Macaca mulatta: one gene and its partner. Each later gene encodes a partner of the first gene's protein in a complex. Links are inferred from orthologs where the notes say so. Each region holds a gene or a part of one and is shown on either strand. Other genes may lie near its edges.

The links. Proteins that work in one complex are often made in the same cells at the same time.
Region 2: the proteins of NCBP1 (region 1) and SRRT are in contact, whole or in part, in a cryo-EM structure (PDB 8PMP), measured with the Homo sapiens proteins. The link is inferred for Macaca mulatta from reciprocal best matches to the Homo sapiens genes NCBP1 and SRRT. Residues at the interface, in NP_002477.1 of Homo sapiens: Tyr461, Gln463, Lys511, Lys557, Ser558, Ser560, His561, Ser564, Ala567, Lys568, His570, Lys607, Ile609, Arg610, Thr611, Gln612, Met648, His651, Glu705; in NP_056992.4 of Homo sapiens: Asp857, Pro858, Arg859, Val862, Glu863, Tyr864, Arg865, Asp866, Leu867, Asp868, Ala869, Asp872, Asp874, Phe875, Phe876.

Annotation. Positions count from the first base shown.
Region 1 is NC_133420.1:60,757,268-60,764,674, forward strand, and holds part of NCBP1 (nuclear cap-binding protein subunit 1), read right to left. Parts: intron 5,257-7,407; exon of another isoform or gene 5,168-5,256; intron 4,579-5,167; coding exon 4,490-4,578; intron 3,830-4,489; coding exon 3,729-3,829; intron 2,206-3,728; coding exon 2,049-2,205; intron 297-2,048; coding exon 189-296; intron 1-188. UniProt on the Homo sapiens protein: Component of the cap-binding complex (CBC), which binds cotranscriptionally to the 5'-cap of pre-mRNAs and is involved in various processes such as pre-mRNA splicing, translation regulation, nonsense-mediated mRNA decay, RNA-mediated gene silencing (RNAi) by microRNAs (miRNAs) and mRNA export.
Region 2 is NC_133408.1:48,082,059-48,090,055, forward strand, and holds the start of SRRT (serrate RNA effector molecule homolog), read left to right. Parts: upstream 1-3,903; 5' UTR 3,904-4,081; intron 4,082-4,325; 5' UTR 4,326-4,343; coding exon 4,344-4,465; intron 4,466-7,997. Other genes in the region: TRIP6 (thyroid receptor-interacting protein 6), read left to right, coding at 1-177, 1,085-1,205, 1,637-1,768. UniProt on the Homo sapiens protein: Acts as a mediator between the cap-binding complex (CBC) and the primary microRNAs (miRNAs) processing machinery during cell proliferation.

The sequences.
Region 1 (7,407 bases):
TATGAGAACCCACCAGTGTGCCAGTCAACTTAATTTTTAGATAGTAAGAACTTACAGTGTGATAGTCTGCTGTTTTTTCTTTATTGCTAATGGATTATCAGCGAAAGGTTTCTGGTACTATATGGAAGTACCAGGATTCAGTAACCCCTCAAGAGCCCCTCAAGATTCAGCGTGAGGGGTTCTCTTACCTGAGGCACATCTTCTTCCTGAGTTACGCTTACAAAATTTTCAAACATGGCAACCATTGACGGGGCAGCAATCACATGGCAATTCACAAGATCAGATAAAAAACGGACCTGTTGGGGCAAACAATTTCTGCTATTAAATCTAAATGTTCTTCATAATAACTACAAAACAAGCAATCTTCTACAGCCTAAACTATTGGGCTGAAAAACTATAGCCTAAGGGCTGGATCTAGCCTACTACCTGTTTTTTGCATAGCTGGGAACTAAGAATGGTTTTTACATTTTTAAATGCTTGAAAAAAAAAAAACCAAGAGTATTTTATGACACATACAAATTACATGAAATTCTAGTTTCTGTGTCCATAAGTAAACTTTTATTGCAGCAGCCATGCTCGTTCAGTTACATATTGTGTATGGTTGCTTTGTGCTACCATGGCAGAATTGAGAAGTTGTAACAAAAACTATATAAAGGACAGCAATCTGTGAGTTCATAGGTTTCTATGCTATACTACATCAACAATCCAGATTGTAAAATATTCTAGCTACTTCAACCTATAAGCTTCTTTTCTGTTTGACTGTAATTTTTACTGAATTACAGAAATGGAAATTACAGAACACATTTATTGGGTGTGCTCAGTGTGCTATTGCTAAACACTACTAAAAGTCAACTGTTAAGGGACCCATTCTAGTGGAACAAGCACAATCTCAATACAAATGAGTGACTCCCACACTAAAAGGCAAATTAAGTGTTTTTGGGAACAATGACAAAGGGAGTTGGGGAAAGCATCACAAAGGAGGTAACAATTAGGCTAGATCATAAAGGATAAGCAACAGTCTCAAGTAGTGAGCAATGAGGGCAGTATAGGCATACAGCTTCAAAAACAAGGTGTGTTTTGGGATCTGCAAGTTATTTTGATATTGCTGGAGAGTGTATGGGAGACAAGAATAGAGAAACACACTGGGGAAACCATAAAGGGTCAGGCTAAAGAGTCTGGACTTTAATCCTATAGCCTGATCGGTATCCAAACTTTTTTGATTGTGTACTCAGTAAAAAAGAATTTGATCACATATCTTCAACACATACATATTTATTTATTATATACACTGGATCACCATTAATCTATGTATTATTAGTAAGGCTTAATTTCATTTCCACTTAAGATAAATAAGAGTTCTCAATATTCACTTTCTGCAACCCAAGGAATCATCTTGTGCACCAGGCTTTTAAGACCACTCACACTGCCATGGGAAGGAACTAAGGGTTTTTTAACCAGTAACCAACATGTGCAGAGCCTAGTTACAGAAAGACCAGTCTGGTGCCACTGTAGAACACAAAGTGAAAAACAGAATCTAGATGCAAAAAGATCAGTTAAGAGGCTATTAAGAACATCTGGAGGAAGGCATAAACTATGCTAGAGGCCCTGGAGACCAAGACAGGACAGACTTGAGAGAAATTAGGGAGACAGAATTGACAGGGATTGGGAACACCTATGGTACAAGAAGGCAAAGGGAAGACAAAAATTAAAGCTCAGCTTTATAGATGGGCTATTCAGTACACAGTGGCCACTGAATGAGCTGGGGAAAGGGCAGAAAAAAGGAGGTATGAATGCTACATTAATTTAGGCACTTCCTGGTAAGATATCTGAAGGCTATGCAGCTAGCATCTGGAATACTGGACTGGAGCTCAGGAGAAAGGATGGAGACACAGTTACAGATTTGGGGGTGTCATCATAATAAAGGTGGCCTATGAAGCTATCAAAGTGAATGAGAATGCCTCAGGGGAGCATTTTAAATTATTTGGTTGTAGCTCACCTTTTCCCTCCATCCCAACAGTAAGTCATAACATACCAACAAACAAACTTACCAAATATACGGCTTCATTATAATTGTTTGCTTTCAATGACTCTTTAAGTTGACGAATCATGGCTTCTACAAATTCTCCACCAAAGTTGTAATTCCTGGCATTCAGCAGTCCAACTAATGTTGTATAAATTGTCAACTTCTCAGGTAACAGACGTGCACTGATTTAAGAACCCAGTATAACGAGAAAACCCCAAAACAATAGCGTTAAGTTGCTGAATTTTATATGAATCTTTTTATCATTCCATTAACTTTGGAACAGGATTACTTTTAGCTATGTCTTTAAAAATACTCCAGAAAAAGCATGTCACTGAGAAATGTTACAAACACAGTCCCGTAATTTTTCATTTTAATTCATTAATTAATCCAAGAGTTAAGAAAGTAAATGATTTAATTGTAAAGTTATCTTACTGAAATAAATAAAACTAATGCTACAACAGTTTTTCTTCAAGTGTGTTTAGTGGAACTGAATAGCATTTCCACAGAACATGGTTTCCATGGTAAAATGTCTCAGAAATCCTGGGTGAAACAAGCCTCTTTAATACAGAATCATTAAGGGGGGTGCGGCATTCAGAATTTCTAAACTTAGCTAACCAAATGTCATGGAAGTAGAATTCTACTTTGAGAAACACTATTCTAGTTGCTTAGAAAAGAGGCACAATTAAAACGAGTTTCATCTAAGTTCCTACCAGCTTAATTATTGAATTTTTTTAAAACGTAGTCTGATATAGTTAAGATTTGCTTACTCCAAGTATGTTGATTTTGTTAAAGTTATTTGAAAAGTATGGGAAAGGATTACAATAAACCTTTAGAAAAAGCAATTTTTCCTAATTTAGGCAGCCTTTAGAATTAGCTCAAAAAGCAAATAAGAACTCATAATCATTCAGTGGGCAAGAGATTCTCTTTGACTTGTTTTCCTAAAGTATCTAGCAGAACATCAGGGACAATTAAGGTCTTCAAAAAAATACCTGTGTTGATGGTAACTGTACTCCCTGAAACCCTACCAAAACCAAAAATTAAAGAATACTGCGAAGCAATACAAGTTCAGCCTTAAACAAACAAGGTTTCCAACAGTTTAAGTATAAATACTACCCCATTTTAATAAAGGATTTCAGAAGATTTCCTTAGTAGTTTCTTAAAGTTACCTTCACTTGATCTAAACTAAAAGGCTGAGAAGTGATAAACGTCACCTTCATAATTTAAAAACACCTCATGGATATGTTACAATTTCATGTAACTACAAAGACTCCTGTTTATCCAGAGAGTATGCCTATTACTAGTGGCTTCCAAAGCCTCTTCAGTCTTCCAAGAAGAGCTATTACTCGTGTTACCAATTCCCAAATTTGTTTGGTACTACTAATTTTAAAATCTAAGTATCATACATTTAAATATACATGCTTAAAAATATGTATCTGAATGAGACAGTACTCTCTCTATAAAAAGTCAACTACAATGATTCTAAGGTTCTAAGAAATAACACACAAGGAAAATGCTCAATTTTAGTTTTATCCCTAAGAAAAAGAGTTCATTAAAGGGCCAAAGGTTGGCTCATTTGTACAAACTTCCCCATAGAAGGAAAGCCAAGGACATATAGAACATAAACATATATTTTAAACATTTCCCAAAGCATTTAAGAGTAGATAATACATTATCACCTGGATTCATAAATCTTTTGCATACATACACTGTACAAAGAAGCCTTAAGATCTTGCTCTTGTAGTTAGGAAGATCAGCTTCCAAAACACCAGCCAAGCCTTCGAGGTTGCTCTCCAAAGAGCAGGCACTCTGTAGAGGACATCACATTAAATATCTGTCAAGTACTCAGCAATATAAATTTATTGTTAAAAATTTATTTAAATGTAAATATATATTTTAAAATCATTTTAAAATCATAACCAATCATCTGTCCTTTTGCTATTTTAGTGTACTAAAATAAAAATTTCCACATGATTAAAATAGTCTTACACGCATACAGAGCTATAATGGGTTTAGTATAAATCAATTCAGATAGTTATTGTTCTTTAGAAATCCATGAAAAGTCGATGAGTGAAATTTAAAAACTAAGCAGTCTATGATAGCAGAGTAAGCATTAGAAATGGGAGGACACCATTGGCTCCATTTTACCTCTGTTACTAATTCACTCTGTTACTCTGGGCAAATTACCTCAAGTATTCAGGGCTGATTTAGTTCATGTATAAATTAAGGGGCTATACCCTAGGTCCCTTTTAAGGCTCATCTTCTATGAAAATTATTAATTACTAAATTACTAATAATAATCAATTATCTGCATCCCAGGGGCTTCAACATGGATTCAATTTGGGATACAGATGCATGGTAATACCAGCTTTACCAAAATGTAGTTCAAGTTTTCAGCTGCAAAAATTAATCAAAGCAGTCAACCACATTCTTAAACCCATCACAGCCTGGGCCTATTGTGTGACATACCTTTTCTCCTACTTTGCATATTAAAGATTCCAAATGATCTTCAGTTTCATTTGCATCAGAGGTCTTTCTCCTTTTGTGAGGCTGCCCACCTATTTCAGCAACATAAAAAATTAACATTACATGCTAAATCTGCTATCACAAATTTTATTTAACCTTTTTAGGTTATAATCTGTTTTCTACCAGGCCCTATTTTTCTGACAGAGTAGAAGCTCTTCACAGACCCTCCATTTCTCAGACTAAGCTAGATTAACCAACACCTCCCATTCCCAGAGCCACTATATACAATAACTCCAGGAGGCATTATTTATGTTAAATTTTGTGTGAATAGTGCCCATGGAGCTAAGCAATCAGCAGCCCTGTGCATTTCTGTGGAAAAGCTGGAAAGCTGCCAACAACGCGTTAAACACTAGTAGTTAGAATACTCATGTACTGCTACTCCCATTCTTTCAACTTGAGTTGTTTACTGATCCTCAGTTGCTTGTTCCGAAACCTGTTAGTACCAGTAGTATTCATTAGTCTAATAATGTAATTATTATGTAAATGACAAAATAAGGGTGCAAAACCAAGTCGAATGCTTTGGGAAGACTTGATCGGAAAAAAAAAAGCTGTTATATCAGGTATAAAGAGGAAAGCTTCAAAAGAGGGGAAAAAGGAGCATAAAACATTAGGATTTCTCACTTGCTTCACATGTTTCTAAGCTCTAATCTCAAGTCTTCAATGAACAATTTCAGTTCTGCATATGATGCAGCACGACGGTATAGTTTATCCTAAATAATGGGAACGACAGTCAGTATATACATATTCAAAGAAAAGTCCTGAGCACTATATCAAATCATTGGCGGAAAAAAGGACCACATGTTTTACAATTCCTGCTTTAACTAGCTTTTATTAACTGAATTACTGATACTGATTTATTTAAAAACCATATCATTTGAATAATCTCTATGTTTTTTAAATCTACCATTCTAAAATCATTACCAAGCATCTGTCCTTTTGATTGCTAAACAATTCAAGTTGAATGAAGCTGTGCTAAAAACTAACCTCAAACACCTGTCTATTAAGACCCTTGCTGTATCTCTTACCACTTTGTTTAAAGCCTTAACACACTCACCTAAGTCCTTTTGTGGTTTAACATAAGGTTTAAAAAATTAAAATAATAGTGTTAAGTATGGAACCTGATGCTGCTGCTAAACACTTTTGGCTAGTCTAATACAATTCAATTTTCGATTTCCATTGATTCAATTATTTGGTCAGCATATGGGCAAGAAAGCAAGAGTCTGTAACTGTGCTGGGAATCTGTATTAATAATGAAAATCTGCAGCTGGATATAGGGCTACACAGTAGTAAGTTATATATAACTTCAATCTTCAGACTTGAATGGCCAAAGGAATTATCTTTACGAAGTTCATAATCACTTACTTGCCTCTGGAACACTTGGCTTGAAATGATGTATGGTGATTCTCATAAAACACAGCACGTGGCTATTCTAAGCTTGGAATGTTAAATCTATCGAATGACTGAAATGATCTTCAGATACCACATGAACTGAAGCTGAATAAAACGAATCTATTACTATCCACATAGGATCTGAGGGGGGTATTACAAAGGTTACAGGATAAGACACTCTGTGCTTCAACTTCCCAACCCATTAATTACCATTATAAACTGAATGTCCACTGACTATAATTTTGAAGGGATAATGCCACAAAAAGTATAATATGCACGCAGTATAAGAGCTGAGATGTACTGATTCCTGGAGATATCTGCCTGTGTAAAGTTGTAGACATGTGTGGCACAGAGGTTCAGGGACCTTGATTCTTAAGTATGTACCAAATCTAAGTCACAGGACCTATCAAGGTTCTACCACCCAAAGTACCAACTTTCACACAAAGGTCTTTTATTTCCAGGATTCATTTATTGAAAAAACAAAGCACAAATGATGTAATATTTACACGAGCCGCCAGCTATAACATTCAACAGCTTTCTTCTAGAGCAGTAGTTCTCAACAGGGTGTAGATTTTGCCCCCAGTTGTCATCTGGCAATCCTTGGAGACATTTTTAGTAGTCACAACTAGGGGAAGCAACTGGCATCTAGTGGGTAGGGGCCAGGGATGCTGCTAAATATCCCACGTTGCATAGGGCATCTCCCAAAACAAATAATCTGGCCAAGAATGTCAATAGTGCTGATGTTAAGAAACCATATTCTAGAAAGCAGAGCTCCTCAGAACCAAATTTCAGTGAGGTTGGGAGAATGGAGATGCTGAAAAACTAGCTGAATGAGAGCAGTTATTTTTTGTTGTTGTTTTTTAAACCTTAAGCACACTGTTCCCTTCTTTCTGGCTCATATATTTTGCCAACCCTTTATTCCACCTCTACAGTCTTCTTAACTTAACTTTCCAGGTGGCTTGTTCCAGTTTGGAATCATTCCACAGCCTTTAAAGCAACCCTGTTAGGCCCTCTTATAAGCTTGAAAAGGGGAAAATAATGCTGTAGGAAGAGAAGGTATGATTTCTGAGAAAAAAACTAGAAAATACATGTACATAGTCACATGTCTGAACTGCAAACCCTCTGTTCATTTTGGCTATATTAAAGGACAAGATTTGTCTGGAGAATGGGAGGAGGCAGAAAGTATTAAGAAGTAAGAAATGTTCCACTCTCATCTGATAGTTGAGAGAATATGAAGGGTGGGGGGAAACTACAGACATAATCTGAACTTATGAACAGAAATATGATATTGAACTCAGAAGAGAACCTAGGTAAGGGAACAGGGAAATGAAATAAAACAATATGAATACAATTTGGGGAATTAGCTCAATGTACCCTGAAGAAAACATATCTATGGTAGTTCCCAAGGCAAGAACAGATTTTTTTATTAAAATTTAACTATGTAAAAGTTTTAAAATGTAAATTAAAGATAA
Region 2 (7,997 bases), on another chromosome or scaffold:
CACCCTGGAGAAATGTGCCACGTGCTCCCAGCCCATCCTGGACCGGATCCTGCGGGCTATGGGGAAAGCCTACCACCCTGGCTGCTTCACCTGCGTGGTGTGTCACCGTGGCCTCGACGGCATCCCCTTCACGGTGGATGCTACGAGCCAGATCCACTGCATTGAGGACTTTCACAGGTCAGGCCCAGGCTCCACCTCGTCTCACAATGTCTGACCTTTCCTGTCTCTTTCATCTCTTCATGCCCCAGGACTGTCTCTCCCTGTTTCCCACCCCTGGCCCTCCTTCATTCTTTGTTATTGTTATTTTTTAGAGACAAGAGTTTCACTCTGTTGCCCAGGCTGGAGTGCAATGGCAAATGATCATAGCTCACTGCAGCCTCCAACTCCTGGGCTCAAGTGATCCTCCCACCTCAGCCTCCTGAGTATCTGGGACTACAGGTGCACACGCCACCATGCCTGGCTAGTTTTCTTCGTTTTTTGTTAGCTTTTTTTTTTTTTTTTTTTGAGATGGAGTCTCGCTCTGTCACCCAAGCTGGAGTGCAGTGGCAGGATCTCAGCTCACTGCAACCTCTGCCTCCTGGGTTCAAGTGATTCACCTGCCTCAGCCTCCTGAGTAGCTGGGATTACAGGCGTGTGCTACCACGCCTTGCTAATTTTTTTTTTTTTTGTATTTTTTGTAGAGACAGGGTTTCATCATGTTGGCCAAGCTGGTCTCAAACTCCTGAGCTCAAGCGATCCACCTGCCTCGGCCACCCAAAGTGCAGGGATTGCAGGCGTGAGCCACTGCACCCAGTCTTCTTCTGTTTTTTAATAAAGACATGGTCTTGCTGTGTTGCCTAGGCTGGTCTTGAACGCCTGGCATCAAGTAATCCTCCTGCCTTGGCCTCCCAAAGTGGGGGCATTACAGGCTAGAGCCACTGCACCTAGCCTCTCTCATTCTCTTTGACATCATCCCTTCCCCAAGACCTAAGGTCATACCTCTGGCCTCCCTGAATCCCTCCTATGCCCCACCTTCTCTGGGTTCCATTGTTGGTGCCCTGCAACCCCAAGGCTTGATGGCCTTCTTGGTTCTCTTCCCCCGCAGGAAGTTTGCCCCAAGATGCTCAGTGTGCGGTGGGGCCATAATGCCTGAGCCAGGTCAGGAGGAGACTGTGAGAATTGTTGCTCTGGATCGAAGTTTTCACATTGGCTGTTACAAGTGTGAGGTCAGGGGCCCCCAGCACGTGCAAGGGGCTGGCAGTGTCTGCGGTGCTGGGTAGAGCACGAGACGGGGAACACAGAGATCTGGGGCTGATGGAAATCTGTTGCTTCTTTCTTTCTTTCTTTTTTTTTTTTTGAGATGGAGTCTCGATCTGTGGCCCAGGCTGGAGTGCAGTGACACGATCTTGGCTCACTGCAACCTCCACCTCCCGGGTTCAGGCAAGTCTCCTGCCTCAGCCTCCTGAGTAGCTGGGATGACAGGTGCTGGCCACCACGCCTGGCTGATTTTTGTATTAGTAGAGACAGGGTTTCACCATATTGGCCAGGCTGGTCTCGAACTCCTGACCTTGTGATCCACCCGCCTCGGCTTCTCAAAGTGCTGGGATTACAGGTGTGAGCCACCGCACCCGGCCAATTGTTGCTTCTTTTTCAACAGGAGTGTGGGCTGCTGCTCTCCTCTGAGGGCGAGTGTCAGGGCTGCTACCCGCTGGATGGGCACATCTTATGCAAGGCCTGCAGCGCCTGGCGCATCCAGGAGCTCTCAGCCACCGTCACCACTGACTGCTGAGTCTTCCTAGAAGTACCTGCTGGGTTCTCAGTTCCAGTTCCCATCCTTCGATTGATCACCCTCCCTGACATCCACCTGTATGACTTCATCACCAAATGCTGTCTCCTCTTTCTCCAATCAAGAAATAATAATCCCTCGAGTTTACAAAACACTTCCAAGTCTGCTGTCTTATCTGATTCTCCCAGTAGCCCATTACAAGCCCAGTTGTTGTTACTACCTGCATTTTTTTTCTTTTTTTTTTGAGACGGAGTCTGGCTCTGTCACCTAGGCTGGAGTGCAGTGATGCCATCTTGGCTCACTGCAACCTCCGCCTCCCGGGTTCAAGTGATTCTCTTGCCTCAGCTTCTCGAATAGCGGGGTTTACAGGCGCCTGCCACCATGCCTGGCTAATTATTTGTTTATTTTTTTGAGATGGAGTCTTGCTCTGTCACCCAGGCTGGAGTACAGTGGTACAATCTCGGCTCACTGGAAGCTCCGCCTCCCAGGTTCACACCATTCTCCTGCCTCAGCCTCCCGGGTAGCTGGGACTATAGGCACCCACCACCATGCCCAGCTAATTTTTTGTATTTTTAGTAGAGACAGGATTTCACTGTGTTAGCTAGGATGGTCTTGACCATCGTGATCCACCCACCTCGGCCTCCCAAAGTGCTGGGATTACAGGTGTGAGCCACCGCGCCCAGCCAATTTTTGTATTTTTGGTAGAGATGGAGTTTCACCACGTTGGTCAGGCTGGTCTCAAACTCCTGACCTCAAGTGATCTGCCCGCTTCGGCCTCCCAAAGTGTCGGGATTACAGGCGTGAGCCACCGCGCCCAGCCACTGTCTGCATTTTTACATGTGAGGATGCCAGAGGAGAGTGACTCCCCCAGATTGCATGGTTCTTAAATGGTGGAACCTGGGTCTTTTTGGCTCAGGTCCAGTTTTTTTGGACAACTCTTGTAATCTGTCACTACCCACCTCTCAGTGCTGGGAGCAAGCATGCCTTAGGGAGGAGGCAAGATTTCCTATATGTATCTATTTTGAGACAGGGTCTCACTCTGTTCCCCAGGCTAGAGTGCAGTGGTGAAATTCAAGGCAGCCCTGAACTCCTCGGCTCAAACAGTCCTCCTAGCTTAGCCTCCCCAGTAGCTAGGACCACAGGGGCATCCTACCAAGCCCAGTTGTTATTTTTTTGTGCGTAGATGGGATCTTGCTATGTTGCCCAGGCTAGTCCTGAACTCTTGGGCTCAAGTCCTCCCTCCTCAACCTTCCCAAGTGCTGGGATCACAGGTGTGAGCCACTGTGCCTGGCCCTAAATATTCTGTAAAGGGGTCTTGCTATGTTGCCCACACAGGTCTTCAACTCCTGGGCTCAAGTGATCCTCCCACCTCGGCCTCCCAAAGCGCTGGGACTGCAGGCGTGAGTCACCTCAGCTGGCCTTCCTATTAGGTCTCACACTCAATTCTGAGAGGGGCCTTGGTGTTACTCCCGGGCGTGGCAGTCCACTGAATGTGGGCGGTCCATACTGTTTCGGGCCTTAACTTACAGCCTATATCATCCAAGTACTGAGTGGGGTTAAAACTGAGATCTACCAATTTTCCTTAAAGATGGGGCGTTTTTGTCGAGGAAGATCAGGAATGGCGGACTTTGCATTTAGTGCGCACTGTGGCACCCACTTTTGGCTGGATATTTGGAGCAGAAAATGGTGGGAGACGATGCTTTAAAATGGTTGCTTCCATCTTCCATCCCCTAAACGCGCTTCCCAAGTCCACGTCCTGCCCGAGGAGAGGACGAAACCCCCCCGGTGAGGTCAGGAGGCCCGTAGGGGGAACACGGCTGGATGAGGACTGGCTCAGACCCCCCTACACATCCGGGGTCGCGCGATCCTCGACTTCGGCCCTCGGAAGCTCTCCCTTCGCGCCCAGAGAGCGCCTTCGCCCCCCGAGGCCGCGCTTGGCCCAGCCGAGTTCCCGTAGTTCCTAAAACTCTAGCCATTCTCGTCTCGAAAAACCGCGCGAGACTTGCGAGAACCCCGCCCCTTTCCCGTCACGCCCTGCTCTCCCCGCCCATCGCGCTCGGTTCGTTAGTTCCAGTTCGGGCCGCGAGGGGGGAGCTTTGTGCCTCGGAGGCGTGGGTGACGCAGGCGCAACGCGGGCCGCGCTCGCTACCGCCCATCCTTGGTTGTCCCACTTTTGTTCCCCTCTCTTTGGCCCTGTAACCAAGAGCTCCGTCTTCGTCTCGCCCTCCTCGTCGTCCTCGTCGCGCGCCCGCGGCCCAGGTCGCCCTGAAATCCAGCCCGTCCGAGCGCGAGTCCAACGGCCGCGGCCGCTCCCAGGTGGGGGAGGGGAGGAGCCTGGGGGGCCCCGCTGGGGCGCGAGAGGAACCGGGGGCCACGGGGGCGTGCTGGGAGACCCTCGGGGCGAGTGGAAGCATTGGAGCCGCGTCCTGAGGCCCAGGATGGTGGGGGCCGCGGAGGGCTGGCCTTGACGGGAGGGAAGCGGGCGAGGTGCCCGCGAGGGACGATCTCTTCCTCCGCTTGTCCTTTTGCACCACCCTGACCGCCCCTCCCCGGTCCCCAGGCCCCCTCAGACCGCGCCATGGGTGACAGTGATGACGAGTACGATCGAAGGCGCAGAGACAAGTTCAGAAGAGAGCGCAGCGACTACGACCGTTCCCGCGAGAGAGATGAAAGACGTCGAGGGGACGATTGGAATGACAGGTGAGCCGTTTTTAACTTCTTCTTGTCCCCATTTAATGCCGTTTCACGCCACCCGCGTCGCTTTTCTTTTTCCCCCTTGTAATTTTTATGAGGGCGAACCCTATGAAATGGCTCATTGGATCGTTTGCTGTTGTTCAGCCTATTTGTTGTTGGCCAAGTAACTAGCTGTGTGGCTTGGTTTTTTAAATTCTCAGCAGATCAGAGCAATAGAGCTAAGAGTTTGAGAATGAAGAAGCACTGTTTATACATGCACGAAAAACGTGCTTTTTTGCTTTCTTTTTGTTTTGTTATGGAGATGGGGTCTTGTTCTGCCCTGGCTGGAGTGCATTGTGGTGCAGTCATAGCAGCTTCCACCTCCTGAGCTCAACCGATCCTCCTGCCTCAGCCTCCTGAGCAGTTGGGAGTACAGGGGGAGGCCATCACTCCTGGCTAACTTTTAAAAATTGTTATTATTATTTCGAGACAGGGTCTCGCTCTGTCGGCTAGCCTGGAGTGCCGTGGCGCAGTCTTGGTTCACTGCAGCCTCCGCCTCTGGGGTTCAAGTAATTCTCCTGCCTCAGCCTCCCGAGTAGCTGGGATTGCAGGCACCCGCCACCACACCTGGCTAATTTTTGTATTTTTAGTAGAGACGGGGTTTCACCATGTTGGCCAGGCTGGTTTGGAACTCCTGACTTCAGGTGATTCACCCAGCTTAGCCTCCCAAAGTGCTGGGATTACAGGCATGAGCCACAGTACCTGGTCTAAAATTATTTTTTGTAGAGACAGAGTCTTGCTCTGTTGCCCAGGTTGTAAATTATATTTTAGGAAGATTGCTTCAGAAAAATAATAATATAGAGTTGATCTGACTGGAGAGGTTGTCAGACTATTTCCCTGACAATATATGATTAGGTTTTTTGTCACTGTTTTGCCTAAAATCTCAGAGTTTATTGGGTGGTGCTGATTGGATTGATTGATTATAAGATGTGGTTATTGACCTGAGGATGTTACAGTGTGGGCTTGGCCTGGGGGTTCAGAATGGCCATGGATGTATTCTGTAAATGAGAATACATAGCGGAAGTTATAAAGAGGATAAGCATTAAGGGAACAGATCTCTAAAGGAGGGGAGCGGTGCTGGAGGGGGTGTGTCAGGGACCCACTGGAAAGTGACACTTAGCTAGACTTAGAAAGATAAGTGGGAATTCCCCAGACACGAGTGACACGAACAGCTTGGAGTTGTGGACATAATGTGTGCTTTTAGCATATTCTAGTTTGGTTAGAGTCCTGTTTCTCAGGATGTCCGCAGACCATAGGGAGTCTCCGAGGCTAAAATTATTTTTTGTGCTAATGTTTACATATTATTGCCATTTCCACTGATGGTGCCATAGCAGTGGTGGGTAAAACTGCTGATGCTTTAGCAAACATCAAGGCAGTGACAGCAAAGAGTTTAAAAAAAAAAAAGAAAAAGCCAGCTGGGCGCGGTGGCTTATACCTGTAATCCCAGTACTTTGGGAGGCCAAGATGGGCAGATCATGAGGTCAAGAGATCGAGACTATCCTGGCCAACATTGTGAAACCCCATCTCTACTAAAAATAGAAAAAGTTAGCCAGGTGCCGTGGTATGCGCATGTAGTCCCAGCTACTCGGAAGGCTGAGACAGGAGAATCACTTGAACCTGGGAGGCAGAGGTTGCAGTGAGCCGAGATCGTACCACTGCACTCCCGCCTGGCGACAGAGCAAGACTACGTCTCAAAAAAAAAAAAAATGCCAGTTCTATCAATGGTTCTTGATGAAAGAGTAAAACATTTAATTTGATTAAATTGGACTCTTGACTGTACGTCTTTGTTTTTGACATAAAATCTCTCTCTGTTGCCCAGGCTGGAGTGCAGTGGTGCAATGTCAGCTCACTGCAGCCTCCACCTCCCCGGTTCAGGCGCTTCTCCTGCCTCAGCCTCTCGAGTAGCTGGGACTCCTGACCTCAAGTGCTTCGGCCTCTCAAAGTGCTAGGATTACAGGCCTGCATTAGTTTTCTTGAGCAAGAGTATGCATGTGATTGAGTGAGCTGAACTAACAGCTTTTTTCCATGGGACATTATTTTTACTTGAATGAATGACAAATAGTGATTGTTCATACTTGGGTATTTGGCAGACATCTTGAAAATGAACTGAGAACCTGTTACTTCAGTGTAAGCTGTCAGTATTTGTTGCCAGTGATGAAGTAGCACTTTCCAGTGAAAATTAAAATTTTGGGCCGACGCAGTGGCTCATGCCTGTAATACCAACACTTTGGGAGGAGAAGGTGGGTGGATTGCTTGAGCCCAGGAATTTGAGAACAACCTGGGCAATGTGGTGAAATCTGTCGGTACAAAAAAATACAAAAATTAGCTGGGGGTGGTGGCACATGCCTGTAGTCCCAGCTACTCAGGAGGCTGAGGCGGGAGGATGGCTTGAGCCTGGGAGGTCGAGGTGAGAGTGAGCCTTGATTGCACCACTGCACTCCAGCTTGGGCAACAGAGAAATACCTTGTCTAAAAAAAAAAAGGAAATTAAAATTTTGGAAAACTTCTATCTACTAATGTGAGCTTGACAGCTTCCCATTAAGTAAAGACTTTTTTGGTGAGATAGGCAGTGATGCTGATGCATACATTTTGATATTGTGTGAGACATATCAAAGTCCATTCAAAGGGCAAGATAGAAGAGTGCATTTTAATGTAGCAGAGAAAGAAATATTCACTGATACTATTTCAGATTGAAGGTTCTAACTAGCCTGTGAGAAACTACTTCCGTCTTGGACAAGGTAGCATAAAGAAAAGATAAAAAAGAACCTATTTCTTGTTGAATTTTGCGTAGTATCCAAAATGAATGTCTACAGTTAATCTGAAAAGGCTTTTTCAACTCCTTATTAGTGTGAGGCCTGATTATCTGTTTTTTTTTTTTTTTTAAAACGGGGTGTTACTCTGTTGCCCAGGTTGGAGTGCAGTGGCACAATCATGGCCGTGGGTCACTGCAGCCTTGACTTCCCCAGGCTCAGGTGATCCTCCCATCTCAGCCTCCTGATTAGTTGGGACTACAAGTGTATGCCACCACACCCAGCTAATTTTTTTTTTCTTTCTTTTTTTTTTTTTTGAGATGGAGTCTCACTCTGTTGCCCAGGCTGGAGTATAGTGGCATGATCTGGGCTCACTGCAACCTCTGCCTCCTGGGTTCAAGCGATTCTCCCGCCTCAGCCTCCCAAGTAGTTGGGATTACAGGTGTCTGCCACCACCCCTGGCTAATTTTTGTGTATTTAGCAGAGACAGTGTTTTGCCATGTTGGCCAGACTGGTCTCAAACTTCTGACCTCAAGTGATCTGCCCGCCTTGGCCTCCCAGAGTGCTGGGATTACAGGCGTGAGCCACCACTTCTAGCCAGCCAGCTAATTTCTGTATTTTTAGTAGAAAGGTGGTTTGACCATGTTGCCCCAGCCTGGTCTTGAACTCCTGGGCTCAGGCAATCCACCTGCTTTGGCCTTCCAGAGTGCTAGCATTCATTACAGATGTGAGCCATCATGCCCGGCCTGC